Alligator mississippiensis: one gene and its partner. Each later gene encodes a partner of the first gene's protein in a complex. Links are inferred from orthologs where the notes say so. Each region holds a gene or a part of one and is shown on either strand. Other genes may lie near its edges.

Region 1 (7,828 bases):
TTTCCTCCTGTCCACAGCCCATCCTACCACCATATTCTGAAGCCAGCCTCAACACAGAAACAATAAGGACACTGAAGAGGCCCTTACAATCACCTCCTGGTGTTATTTAACCCAGATCGAATTGATCTATCTTTGTGTCATGTGGTACACTCAAGGCCAGGCAGTGAAACAAGATACAGCTGCTTGGATTTCCAACATCACAGGAAGTTATACATTTCATTACGCATTTGAGAAGAGTTGTGTCTAATGTAAGGACTTGTAACCTCTCCACCACCCTCTGTTTTCAGTTGCGTGATTAGGCCACTGGAGGATGCCTAGGTTCTGTTTCCCATTCTTCCACCAACTGGTTACACAATCCTCGGACAGTTACTTTGTCTCTCTGTGCCTCAGTTTCCCCATTAGTAGAGCAGGAATAAAATTACCATTCCCCCTTGTGAAGGGCTCAAACAGGAAGAGTTGCCTGGAGGGGCAAGGCACTAGCTTCCGACTCAGGTCACCTGGCTCCAAGCTCCTGGTTCATTGCCAACCTCCTGTGTGACCCTGGGCAAGTCACTCATCCTGGAAGGGCCTCAGCTTCCCTTGTGTAAATCCTGCCCTGCCTCACAGGACCATCGCAAGGATGACTCCATTAAAGGCTATCAGACACTCTGGCCCTGCAAGGCTGGGAAAGCTCTCGAAGAGGCGAACACACAAGAGAAGCACTCAACAGAGCCATAAAACCAGGGCATGGGACCAGGATAAAGCAACCAAAATTCCCATTCAGGGCAAGAGTGTCTCCAGTAGCTCTCCTGAGGATGCCCAGTTTTATACTCTGCCAGAGGGCAGACAAGGTGACCAGCTAGCTCCTTTGGGCTCTACTGAACCTACAGCCATGCCCCCTTCAAACGTAAGCACTGTACTCTCCTCACCGCTGATCGTGTTGATTTGTAAGCGACTCCGACACCTTGCGATGCCTCCTCATCGCTGCTGCTGTTCGACCCATATGAGGTCTTCTCCTTTACGCTTCTCTGGGTCTGCAGGGGGAGAGAAAAACACTGAAAATTTAATACTGGGAAATGGAACACAACACCCAGACACAAGAGGCCCTCCTCCCACGGGGGAGGCCATCCCTAATGAGCTGACTCCATGCTGGCTACAGACAGAACTATAGCCCAGGGAGGCAAATTAATGAAACTTTGGGCACTCAGGTCTCATCAGGATCAGGCTCTGCACAAATCACTAAACTATCACTAAACTGTGGAAAGGAAGCAAGTAGCACAACAGTGGGAAAGGGGAGCATTCTAGTTACAGATACCAGGATCACACCTCCACACCACATGCATACATGGGTCCTCTCTCTCAAGTGAAAGACCTTTGCATAATAGTATCTAGAACTCAGGCTCGCAACTCGTGGAGTACGCAGATACTGCAAATACAGCAGTTCAGGCTACAGTGCACCTGGTTTGGGGACAGGGAAGTGGGCACAGAGCAGTATGACATGTCTAATGGCGTCACTGTTTGGCCCAATATAAGGACACCCTTACATCTAAGACGAGCTGCTAGAAGGGTGGCCTCCTTGAGGACACAGAGACATGAGATGTAAAGCTGCAGTAGACCAACACTGCCTGAAAAATGACCCAGGCTCCTAAAGATGCCCAGGGCGATTCTGAACAAGAAAGGCCGAAACATGGAAGAAAAGGAGGAAAACCTTTGTGCAGCCCCCAGTGCCCTTCCTCGGCCGTAGGCCACCATCAGCTACTGGTGGTAGGAGGTAGTTCATAGACCAGCGAGCAAGGGGCAATGCAGTCACAGTGCCCGAACCCTCAACCCCGGCCCATCCCGCCTGTTCCATCACAGGAACAAATGACAGGTTTGCTTCAGATCCAAGGGGTGTGCTTGCCAAGCCAAAGGCTTGTGCGTCCCTCTGTTTACTTCCCACCCCAGCCAGTGCAGCGATCCAGGGGCTAACGTCACCCGCACACGTGAACCGAGTTCTGTCACGAGTGCAACTGTGGCATCTGCCCCGCGCCGGACTGGGACATTTGGGGTCACGTGAGACACCCAAGGCCTGCAGCTACTGTGTGTGGCTCCCCACCCGCGCAGCTGCACACCCCCCGCTGAGGCCTCTGCTCCCTCAGATGTCTGAGGACTAAAAGACAAGCCACGCGAGGGCAGGGAGCAGTGGCTGCAGACAGCCGCAGCGAGGGCCAGGGTGAGCCGGCTGATGTCAGCTCCCGCCTGTGCACGAGGGAAAAGCCCCCAAGTGCCGTGGTGCCCAGCTCTTCCCTGGGGCTTTTCACAGTCCTGGGTGGGGCTGGGCCAGCTGGCAAGATGCCCCGTGCCTGCACCGCGGCGCGGGCAGCCATTACCTTCTGGACCATGGGGTTGGGGGCATCCCGGCGCCGCTCCTTGCGCACCACTGCGCTGCCCTCATCGCTGCTGCTCCCTGTGGGCAAAGCGGCCATCAGGTGTCAAGCCAGCCCGAGCGGGCCGCCCTGCTGTCCCAGGCTCGGGGGGCATCATGGCCAGGCGCCACCACTCCCAGCCCTGCTGGAGTCCCCACCCCTGCGCTCAGTGGCTCAGTCCAGACCCCCCCCCCCCGCAGTGAGAATGGGATGTCCCAGAACCACCTGCCTTCAAGCGAGGACGGCCCCAGAGAGTATGGTACAGCCCAAAATCCCCTCCCCAGTGGCAGGGGCACAGCCCAGAACGCGCCACCGCTCGGTGGTGATGGTATGGTCCGCACCGCCAATGATAATGGCACAGCTTAGGAACCCCTCCTCCCCCCGCCTGCAGTGGGACAGTCCGAACGCCCTCCTCCCGGGGTGGGCCCGCAGCCAGAGCCCGGCGCTGGCAGTGGTACGGCCCGCCCCCCCTGGCGGAGTGGTGCCGGCCGCGGCCCCTCACCCGCCTCCTGGTCGCTGCCCGGCCGCTTGCGCCGGCCCCTGCCGGCTGCCGGCCCGCGCCGCCGGAACACGAAGCTGCAGACCGGAGCCTCGTCTGCCATCTTCCCGGCCGGGGCGAAGAGTGGGGCCGCCGGACAAGCGGGCGGAAGCGGCCGCCGCGGCAGCGCCCCCGCGCGGCGAGGAGGAGGGGCGGCCCGAGGCAGGGCGGGGCGGGGTGCGGGCGCCCCCTGGTGGGAGGAGGGGAGCCGGCGCCCGCCCGCAGGGTGCGGCCTGGTCCCGCGGGCAGGCCCCGCTGGGAGGCTGCGGGGAGACAGACGTCCAATTGCGGCCGGAGTCGGGGCTGCCCTCAGCGGGCCGTGGCACAGCGCTGTCCCCTGCAGCCCCGCAGGGTTTTCTTTTGATAAAGCGCTGTTGGAAATTTCTGTTTCCATCAACCCCACTGATTGCAGAGGATTTGGGGACTTAGCGCCCAGCTCTCAGCTGCCCAAGCACCTCTCCGCTCCAGTCACTTTCAGCCGCAGCTCCGAAATGTTCGTTAACCCTCTCACTTTAGTGCTGGAAACCCCCGAGGTGGGGAGAAGCGTCGGGGCCACATAAGGTGCCAGGAGCAGCCGGGAAATGGACATCGCAGCGATGGAGACTCGGGGACTCTTAGCAGCAGGGAGATCTCCCCGCAGCTGCATGCTTGTAAGGTGGCCCTCAGCTCAGGGTGTTTGTGGGGCTGGAGGAGGCAGGGAAGGCAGGCAGGTGCGTGAGTCAGGGGAAGCAGGGTGTATCCCCCTGCCCCTCCATTCCCTCAAGCTCGTCCAGGCTCTGCTGTTTCAGCCTGCACTAGTCGAGTCGGCCCCTTGCTCATCGCCATAGCAACAAGTAGCAGAGCTGAGTGTGTGTCTGGAGTGTAACTGGATGCTGTGAGGACTGCTGTGGAGGAATGGGTCATGCTGAGGCTAGGAGGGTGGGTCCCGTGCCCTGAATTGCCCAGGGGCATGGGACGTAATGCTGGGGCTGCCCTGCATCCCCTGTCTGGGAGAAGAGACTTTAAGGGGGCTGATTTGCCTGCACCTTGTGCTGTCATTTCCACCAATGCCGGAGGAGTGCAAAGCAGTTTGCACCCTGTCTTGCACAGATGGAAATGCTGACCCACAGTGAAGGGCAGCAGAGACCCTGGCTGAAGGACGCTGCTCCTGGACTCCCTGATCTGGCTCCTGCTGGATGACCATCAGCATCTGCTGCCACTAGCAGCAGGGGGTCTCTGAAAAGACCCACTGCATTTTTCTCATCGGGTTCCTTCTGCAAAACTCTCCCCTCACATGATGGTGGGGTGGGGAGAGGACATTGTCACACCCTGGGGAAGGTGTGTTGCTGCTTCTCATTTTTTGCACTGTCAGTGAGAGGGTGGAGGAGGTGTCTCCTTTCTCAACTCCCAATGTCACACACATCCTGGATGTCTTCATGGAACAGAGGCCAGGGATGGGAAGGGTGGCCAAGGGGCAAGGACGCAGCCCTGGCACTTTGGAGTGCTAGGTTTAATTCCCTCCACTGCCACAGGCTCCCAGTGTGACCTTGGGCAAGTCACTTAGCCTCTCTGTGCCTCAGTCTCCATTTTGAGAAATGGGGATATTATTACTGCCTTATCTCCCAGGGGATTGCATGCATAAGTGTGTTAGTGGTGTGCTCAAATGGAAGATTATAGGGCCAGATAAGCACCATGGATAGAGCCAGCCTCCTAATTTTGTAGCTGTTTTCTGTTTCTCCTGTAGGATTGTCCCTAACTGGTTATTATGACCTACCATCTGGGTGGTGGTCCAGTTGTACCTCTGCAGGTTACAGGACACCTCTTTGAAAGCCAGCATTGCAGTCCAACTTCCCATGACCTCAGCTGCTGGGCATTATTTTTTCTGTTCTGGATGCCGAGGCACATGTTGATTTTAACTCCTTCAGGTTAATTGCCTTTGACTCAGGATACTTAGATGTTGATATTTTCTTTTGATGTTCTGCCCATGAGTTTCTGAACTTATGCCCCAAAAAGCATTTTGAGGCATGTTGTGATATTAAAACAGTGTTAAGGACTGACCCACTCTATATCCACTGCTTTTTATTTTTAAGTCAAAAAGAAAATCCCAGCCCCATTAAAACAATGAAGGATCCAGGATGAAGCCAGGATGTCATCTCAAGTCCTTTGCTGTTTTTACCGACTTTCCTGCTGATCTATTTGGCTTTAAGCTCAGGCCTTGACATAATGTACTTGAACCAATACATCCCAGAGAATCCTTGAAATGACCCCTTGGGAATTCTAGGCCCTTTTCTTATCTCTTATGGGAAATCCCATAGTGAGCAAACCACAGTTTGTAATGTGTTATTGCTAGTTACTTGGTATGTTTTGCAACTGTTCAATTAAAAAAAATGAGTTGTCCACCAGCAAGAGGCTCAGAATGATACCTTTTTAAGTTTCTGGTAATTTTGCACCAGCCTTGCACCAGGGACTACCAAGAATCTTATCTGATTTCTGGGATTCTTTGCATCATGTGTTGTAGTTCTGTTGTAATCTTCACCTTCTCTCCCAGGGCCTTCTTGAGCTCTCTTCTCACACTTGTTACCACCTGCAAAGGCACTGTGTATTATGCAAAGCTCGCCTACTCTCTCACTTTCAGGTGGCTGTTACAGTGACACCTAGTTAACCAAGGCATTTGAGTCTGTATTTGCTTAGCTGTATCTAATTTTACAGTCCAAACACATTCAGCTTTTACTTCCCATCAGTGGTGATGTTCTTTACATGCCACATGTATCTTTGGCAATACAGTGGAAATCTAGGGACACAGTACATTGCTTTGGTATCCTAATCCAGGAAACACCTCCATAAATTCTTTGAGAATGCTTATTCATTTTGTTCTGTAGACATATCACTTACTCATTAGGTCTTCTGTAGTTGCAAGCCCTTCTGGCATCCTGCACCACATTTTCAAGCTGTTTTGAGTGGTGGCTGACTTCATGGGGAAGTATCAGTGTCTCCCTGCTACATTTGGTATCTTGTTTTAGGAAGGAAACTCAGCTTTTATCTTAATATGTTTGTTTGTTTGTGCTTTGGTGTGCTGATTGCTAATCACTTTATAAACACGAGCTGTGACTTGGCTGTACTCACCTCCAAAGTCTACTTTAAAATTCATGCTTTGTTCAGTTCTCTCCAGGGGAACTATGGGGGAATTTGCTTTGCAAATTTATGAAGGATCCCAGCGAGGAACTGTTTCTGTGGTGTCATTATTGCATTATGGTCCTAATGGGTTTTCCCCCTGCTCCTGAGCAATCTTTGGGATTTGGTCAGAGTCCCAATTTCCTCATCTAGCACCTGGCTTCTCCTTTGAATTATGGAGTTTCTTCCTCTCTTCCGTCATTTCAGCCAGCTTCCCTCATCTTCAGGTGGTTCCAGAAGGACCTGATTGCTATGAAACATACCCCTTTTATCCTCTCTCCTGCCCATGAATCCCTCTGAATTTTTAGATTCTAGCACCGCACTGGGTGGGTTTTTTGTCCAGTTTCTAGGGCAACTCAGTTCCTTCAGATTTCCACCCTTCTGCAGAGAAGTTGGAAGCAATGGACTTAGCTGAGATTACATTTCTTTTTTGGTTTTCCCAAGCAAGATCTATTAAGCTGCTCATAGTCTTTAAGGATCAAACTATTCATGAGTAGGCAGACAGGCACCTCTCCCTGTCATTGGAGCACAAGAACATGAGGTAGTGCAAAAGGAGAGAAGGTCATAATACAAAAGACCACAGGCTATGTAGAAATTCAAAATCATAAGCTGCATATGGATCCCCAAATTGTCGCAGTTATTTCAGCTCCTCAAGAGCTGAGGAAGCACAGGAGAGAGGGATCCTGTCCCCCTCCCCTTTCTGCTGACTGGGAGGGGAGCTGTGTTAGACACCTTCTCAGAGCCTGAGGAAGGGAGCATCTCTCTTGCCCCCTGAGGAGAAGGGGTTCCTTGGGGACAATGCTTTGGTGTGAGTGTGGGATCATCTAGGTCTCCTGAGCTTTGGGAACCTTATTTCCCGACATCAGGAACATGGAAAGTCTGTGCAGGAACAGAGCTAAGGGAGGGAGCTGGCAGGAGCATTGTTCTGAGCAGGCTGAATCTGGGCCTGTGTACCTGCTAAGGGTCACCCCAACACTGTGGCTATGGGTAGCCCAGCCCAGGCCCATAATGTCATGAAGGAGAACAGCAGGCAGACTGGGGAAATGCCAAGGACAGCGAGTAACTGCTGGCATCTGTGTTAGTAGTGAGTGAGAAGGAAAATGGGGCATGTTCCCCTGGTGTGTGCCCCATGCCTGTTTCCTTGGGCAATGCTCCCAATACACACAGGTCAGGGAAGCAACTTTGATTTGAGAGGGCTGGCAAGGGGGCGGGGGGGGTGAGTTGGTGGAGAGAGAGCAAGAGAATGGAAGTGGGGGAGCACGGGACTCCAGGGGCTGGGGGAGGTCGGGCTGTAGGTTGCTTCACACAAAGGAGACTGGAGTGTAAGAAGCAGTGAGCCAATCACAGGCAGCAGCTGGTGATGAAAGGACTCACAAGGCGGCACAGGAAGCTCCAGCTCCGGCTGCAGCACAAAAAAATCATCTCCACCAGGCAGAGAGACAGACAGACAGACAGACCCTGAAGGGGAAGGAGCCCTTCTGCCCGGTGTTTCTGTGAGGAGCCCTGGAGTGCGGTGAGTCCTAGTTCGATACCAGAAGAGCAGGGCTTGGTGCTGAGCGCACTATGTACCATAAAAGAGACAATGCTGCTGGCTTTGCTTTGTGAGGTTTGGGGGTGGGGGATTTGACGAGGAAGTGGAAGCATTATTACTGTTAATTTTGTCTAGTCCCAGCCCTGCTGAGAGAAAGTGAAAGAAACAGACTGAGAGGGTGAGGGTGGAAGGTGCGGAGCCATTGGGAGAGAGGAGACGCCAAGG
Region 2 (5,342 bases), on another chromosome or scaffold:
TTTGGCTTCTCTCGTCCTTCTCCGGGTAAAATCAAAGCCCCCAGAGCTACCCGGGGTGTAACGCTGACCTGTCCAGCTCCAAGTGGCCAAGAGGAGGCCCCTCATGGCCGCTGGGTCGGGCCCAGAAGCTGGGCCAAATTGTCAGCGGGGGAAATGCTGCTGGTCTCAATCCAGAGCTCCAGCCTCTGGAGATCCCCCCCCACCCAGGGCTTCACGGGCGAGCGCTGGCCAGGATTGGGGCACCAGGGTCCCCAGGCAGCGTCAGAGAAACTCTCCCGAGGAGCTGGTTCAAACCAGTTGCCGGGTACTTACAGCACAGAGAGATCGCGCTCCTCTGCCCCCAGCCCCGCCAGCACCCCCGGGGCCAAGTGGGGTTCAGTCCCTCCTACACCTCGTCCTGCTCAGATCTCAGCCCTGGGGTAGGACCCGGTTCACCTCCATCCCGGGACCCGCAGCTCAAAACCCCACATTTCCCAGCTCCGGGGTTTTGCTTTTTGGTTTTATTTGTGAACAAAGCCGATCACCGAACCCCAGACGAGCGGCGCGCCCAGCCCCCCGCGCACGTGCCAGGCTGAGAACGGGTCGGGGAAGAGCCCAGGGCCGTGCCCAGAGGTGTCTCTCGGCATCCCCTGGCTCCTCCACCTCTCTGTCCATGCATTTCTTTTTTGCATTTCATTTTGCTTTTGCATTTCTTCCCTGCTTAAAGCCCCCTCACCTCCGGGTCTTTTCCCCTCCGGACTATGCATAGCACGGATCTCCGGCTCCGCTGCCCCACCGATTTCAGAGGCAGGATTTCGTAGGGCCGCGTCCGCCGTCCCTGCAGGCAGACGAGCTTTCCAAAGCAAAACCTTCTTCCCGGGGTCTCCGCTACCGCTTCAATGGTCTCCAGGTCCATTCTGTCTCCCCTCGAACTTGCCCTTTCCTTCAGTCACTGAACGTCTCTCAAATGTCTCCGTTCGGAAAAGATCCTTTTTTTTCAAGCTAATTCCAAATATTTCTAAGCCAGCGGCTTCTTCTTTGCCTTCTCCCTGGCAGCACGTGGACCTGCTAAGAGAGCTCCCTGGCTAAAAACTCCCTGAGCTCTTGGAAACGCGGCCTTGCGCGTCTCCCCGCTGCACGACGAGTGATCGGGTCCTCGTGACTCTTGTACGTGGCCGACGTCCCGGGACGGAGCAGCAGGGACACGAGGGGTCTCCTGGGCTGATAAAGGCATTTCTCTCTCCCCCTTTCAAACCAACGGTGGAGAAACTCCGTGGACTGGACCTGAAGGAAGGAAGGAAGGAGACTGGTTGAAAAGAAGAGTTTCTTTCTTTTTTCTCCCGTCTCTGGGTCGAGATTTTGGTCATTCTCTGTACCCTGCGAACAGTGAAAGCTTCTCCTAGGATTTTTATAGTGTAGAAATTGTGTATCATTTTATTGTGTATAAAAATTATGCAACCTTTTTACTGTGCATAAATTGTGAATCATTTTTATTGTGTGTAAAATTGTATAGCATGTTTACTGTGCATAAATTGTGTATCATTTCATTGCGCATGTATTGCGTATTGTTTTTATTGTATATAAGTTGTGTGCCATGTTTATCGTGTATAAAAATTGTGTAGGGGTTTTATCGTGTGTACATTGTGCGTTATTTTATAGTGCACATATTGCGTATCATTTTGATTGTGTATATATTGTGCATCACTGCACCATCCGGCTCGTTTCTCGCTATCCCGAGGCCAGGGTGTGGGTGGGGGGCGGACTCACTTGCGTTGCCTCTGAATGGGTATGTGGGAGCCCCGGTTGTCCGGGGACCCGTCTCCCCAGATCCTGGCCTTTATTTCCCGTCGGGTTTGAACGGCGACCGGGCAGGACGGGGGCGAGCGGCACACCCAGCAGCGCGGGGAGCACGTGGCCCGAGCCCAGCGCAGCTCTGTGCGTTCCCGTATTGCCTCACGTACAACGCGCCCCAGAATAGAAGACACCCCTTCTCCGGAAGGGCAGGACGAAGAACACGTCCCCTTGTACAAGCAGAGCCGCGGCGAGGGAGGCTTTCCTCCGCGCGGATCACGGACAAGTTTACGTCCGTGTTACCCAACCAGTGTCAGAAATCGATCTTACCGTATTTCTTGCATACGAGACACACCCCGACTGCCTGTTTTTTTCACGGAGGGGGGAGTGCATGGGGTATGCAAGAAGATATAGCATTTCCCAGGTTCCCAGGGACCCCAGAAGACTGCTCTTCCGGCCCCCGGATTAATTGCTCGTCACTGCCTCCTTAAGAGGCCCCGGCCCTCGGGGATGGGGTTACAGGAGCCGCCTGTCAGGGCGGGCTGGAGTGACAGCCCGGGGCTCGTTAAGCAATCACCTGCTCTCGGGTTTCGCTGGCGCGCTTGACCCCCGCGCCCTCGGCACCGCAGGCCAGCGAGGATCCCGGCGAGCAGCTGGCCCCGCGGGGGCGCTGGGGCAGGCATCACTCACCGGGCGCCAAGAGGCGGCACATCTGGGGCGCGGAGGGCAGCTGTTTAGACAAGCGTCACTCAGCCGGGGCCAGACCGCAGCCACCTCTGGGGGGGCCGGGCCCGGCTCCGGTCAGCTCGGACCGTTCGCATGCGCAGGGCTCAGATGCGGCCACCTCTGGGGGGCAACAAGTAGCTGCTCGCACCGGCACTGAATGACCTTGACCCCCCCCGGCACGACCTGGCCCCGGCCTGCCCGAGGGGCCACGCGCCGACCGGAGCCCATGGGGCGAACGTGGGGGCGGTCGCTGCCTGGAGCCCGCGGACAAGCGGGACCTGGGGCCGGAAGGTCCGTGCGGGGCCGCGGCTGCCCTGTCCGGTCCCGTCCCTACTGCGGGCAGTGGGGGCAGTGGGGGCGCTGCGCGGGGGGACAAGGGGGGCAGTATGGGGCGCTGTGCAGGGGGGTAAGGGGGGGGCAGTGGGGGCGCTGCGCGGGGGGACAAGGGGGGCAGTATGGGGCGCTGTGCAGGGGGGTAAGGGGGGGGCAGTGGGGGCGCTGCGCGGGGGGACAAGGGGGGCAGTATGGGGCGCTGTGCAGGGGGGTAAGGGGGGGGCAGTGGGGGCGCTGCGCGGGGGGACAAGGGGGGCAGTAGGGGGCGCTGTGCAGGGGGGCAGTAGGGGGCGCTGTGCGGGAGGGGCAAGGGGGGCAGTAGGGGGCGCTGTGCGGGAGGGGCAAGGGGGGCAGTAGGGGGTGCTGTGCGGGGGGGCAGTAGGCGGACAGTAAGGGGCGCTGTGCAGGGGGGTAAGGGGGGGGCAGTGGGGGCGCTGCGCGGGGGGACAAGGGGGGCAGTAGGGGGCGCTGTGCAGGGGGGCAGTAGGGGGCGCTGTGCGGGAGGGGCAAGGGGGGCAGTAGGGGGCGCTGTGCGGGAGGGGCAAGGGGGGCAGTAGGGGGTGCTGTGCGGGGGGGCAGTAGGCGGACAGTAAGGGGCGCTGTGCAGGGGGGTAAGGGGGGGGCAGTGGGGGCGCTGCGCGGGGGGACAAGGGGGGCAGTAGGGGGCGCTGTGCAGGGGGGCAGTAGGGGGCGCTGTGCAGGGGGGCAGTAGGCGGACAGTAAGGGGCGCTGTGCAGGGGGTAAGGGGGGCAGTGGGGGTGCTGTGCGGGGGGGCAAGGGGGCAGTATGGGGCACCGTGTGGGGGGGCAGTAGGGGGTGCTGTGCGGGGGAGCAAGGGGGAGCAGCAGGAGGTGTGGGTGCAGGGGGTAGCGGAGGGGGGGGTCGCCTGGGGGTCCCCCCTGGCCGTGGGGGGGTGGGGGTCAGTGCATTGGGAGGGGAGGCAGAACCAGACGCCGCTTCGCGCTCCGAAGCCTCTTGACCCCGCCGCGCTCCCGTAACCGCATCCGACCCCGCGACCGCCTCGCGCGCTCGCGCTACATGACTCCTCCGCCGCCCCGTACTTGTAGGCCAGCTCGGACACAGTTCCGCGTTCCACGATCTCTTGGCTCCGCCGCCGCCCCGTAGGTCCACCCGGAAGTGGGTCCAGGCCTTGGTGACCCGGAGGCGGAAGTCGGTGGGGGAGACCCGGGAGCGGCGGCGCGCGTGCTTGGGACCGGGAGCGGTAGAGCAATGTGAGGGGGGCGGGGGACTGGGACCAGGGGGAGGCAAGGAAGGGGGGGGTGGAGTCGCCAAGGAGGGGGAGGGGGGGTCCGGGTGGAGACGCCCCCCCGAGACGCCCCAAGGCGGGGGCCCGAGCCGTGGTGCGCCCGCGTGCACCCGGCCGAGCTGCCCCCCCCGCCCCCCAGGAGTCTGCTGAACAAGCCGAAGAGCGAGATGACGCCCGAGGAGCTGCAGAAGCGCGAGGAGGAGGAGTTCAACACGGGGCCGCTGTCCGTGCTCACGCAGTCGGTCAAGAACAACACGCAGGTGCTCATCAACTGCCGCAACAACAAGAAGCTGCTGGGCCGCGTCAAGGCCTTCGACAGGTAGGGGCCGCGGGGATAGGGGGGCTGCGCCCGCCCGCCCGCCCGCGCCACGGCCCTGACCCCCGCCTCCCCCCAGACACTGCAACATGGTGCTGGAGAACGTGAAGGAGATGTGGACCGAGGTGCCCAAGAGCGGGAAGGGCAAGAAGAAGTCGAAGCCGGTGAACAAGGATCGCTACATCTCCAAGATGTTCCTGCGCGGCGACTCCGTCATCGTCGTGCTGCGCAACCCCCTCATCGCAGGCAAGTGACCTGCCGCCGCCCGCCTGGGGAGGGGTCCGCCGCCCCCCCTCCCCGGGGTCGGTCACCCCGAGGCCTGGGCCGCCTCGGCCCCTGCCAGGCTGCAGACCGCGGCTAGGACTCTTTCCACCCCCCCCCCCCTTGGTTTTGGCTACTAATTAAACTATGTGATTTGTTGCCCCGTCTGGTTTCCTGGGGGAGGGGGCAGGGAGGGGCCTGTCTTGACATCCGGCTCCTCACACCTTCACCCCCCCCATCTAGACGGCCTCCTCCCCAGAGCCAGCTGCGGGGGCTGGGGAAGAGCCAGCAGGTGCAGTGGTTCCAGATCTCCCCGCCCCCAACGCAAGCCAGACCCTGGCGTGCATTCACCGACGCGTCGCTAGCAAAACCAGGGAGGTCCTCCCGTTTGACTCGGCCTTAGCGAGGCCCGAGCTGGAGTACTGCGGCCAGTTTTTGGCCCCCCACTCCAGGAGGGATGTGGATAAGCTCAGGACAGACCAGACAAGAGCCGCCCACCATCCGAGGCCTGGAGGGTAGGCCCTACGAGGACAGGAGAGGAGAGGAGAGGCTGAGGGACTTCGCCCACTTCATCCTGGAGAAGAGAAGGCCTGGGGGGGGACATGACTTGGTGGCTGCCTGTCAGCACATAAGGGGGGAGGTGCAGCGGGCTCTGGGAGGACAGTTGCT

Evidence for each region. Proteins that work in one complex are often made in the same cells at the same time.
Region 2: E3 ubiquitin-protein ligase RNF113A (region 1) and SNRPD2 share a complex: the UniProt entries of both Homo sapiens proteins name them as parts of the minor spliceosome. The link is inferred for Alligator mississippiensis from reciprocal best matches to the Homo sapiens genes RNF113A and SNRPD2.

Annotation. Positions count from the first base shown.
Region 1 is NC_081827.1:158,641,951-158,649,778, reverse strand, and holds the start of E3 ubiquitin-protein ligase RNF113A, read right to left. Parts: upstream 3,016-7,828; 5' UTR 2,987-3,015; coding exon 2,887-2,986; intron 2,426-2,886; coding exon 2,349-2,425; intron 1,014-2,348; coding exon 909-1,013; intron 1-908. Other genes in the region: LIMD2 (LIM domain-containing protein 2), read left to right, coding at 3,504-3,572. UniProt on the Homo sapiens protein: Required for pre-mRNA splicing as component of the spliceosome. As a component of the minor spliceosome, involved in the splicing of U12-type introns in pre-mRNAs. E3 ubiquitin-protein ligase that catalyzes the transfer of ubiquitin onto target proteins.
Region 2 is NC_081838.1:499,705-505,046, reverse strand, and holds SNRPD2 (small nuclear ribonucleoprotein Sm D2), read left to right. Parts: upstream 1-3,953; 5' UTR 3,954-4,059; coding exon 4,060-4,061; intron 4,062-4,235; coding exon 4,236-4,415; intron 4,416-4,491; coding exon 4,492-4,666; 3' UTR 4,667-4,832; downstream 4,833-5,342. UniProt on the Homo sapiens protein: Plays a role in pre-mRNA splicing as a core component of the spliceosomal U1, U2, U4 and U5 small nuclear ribonucleoproteins (snRNPs), the building blocks of the spliceosome.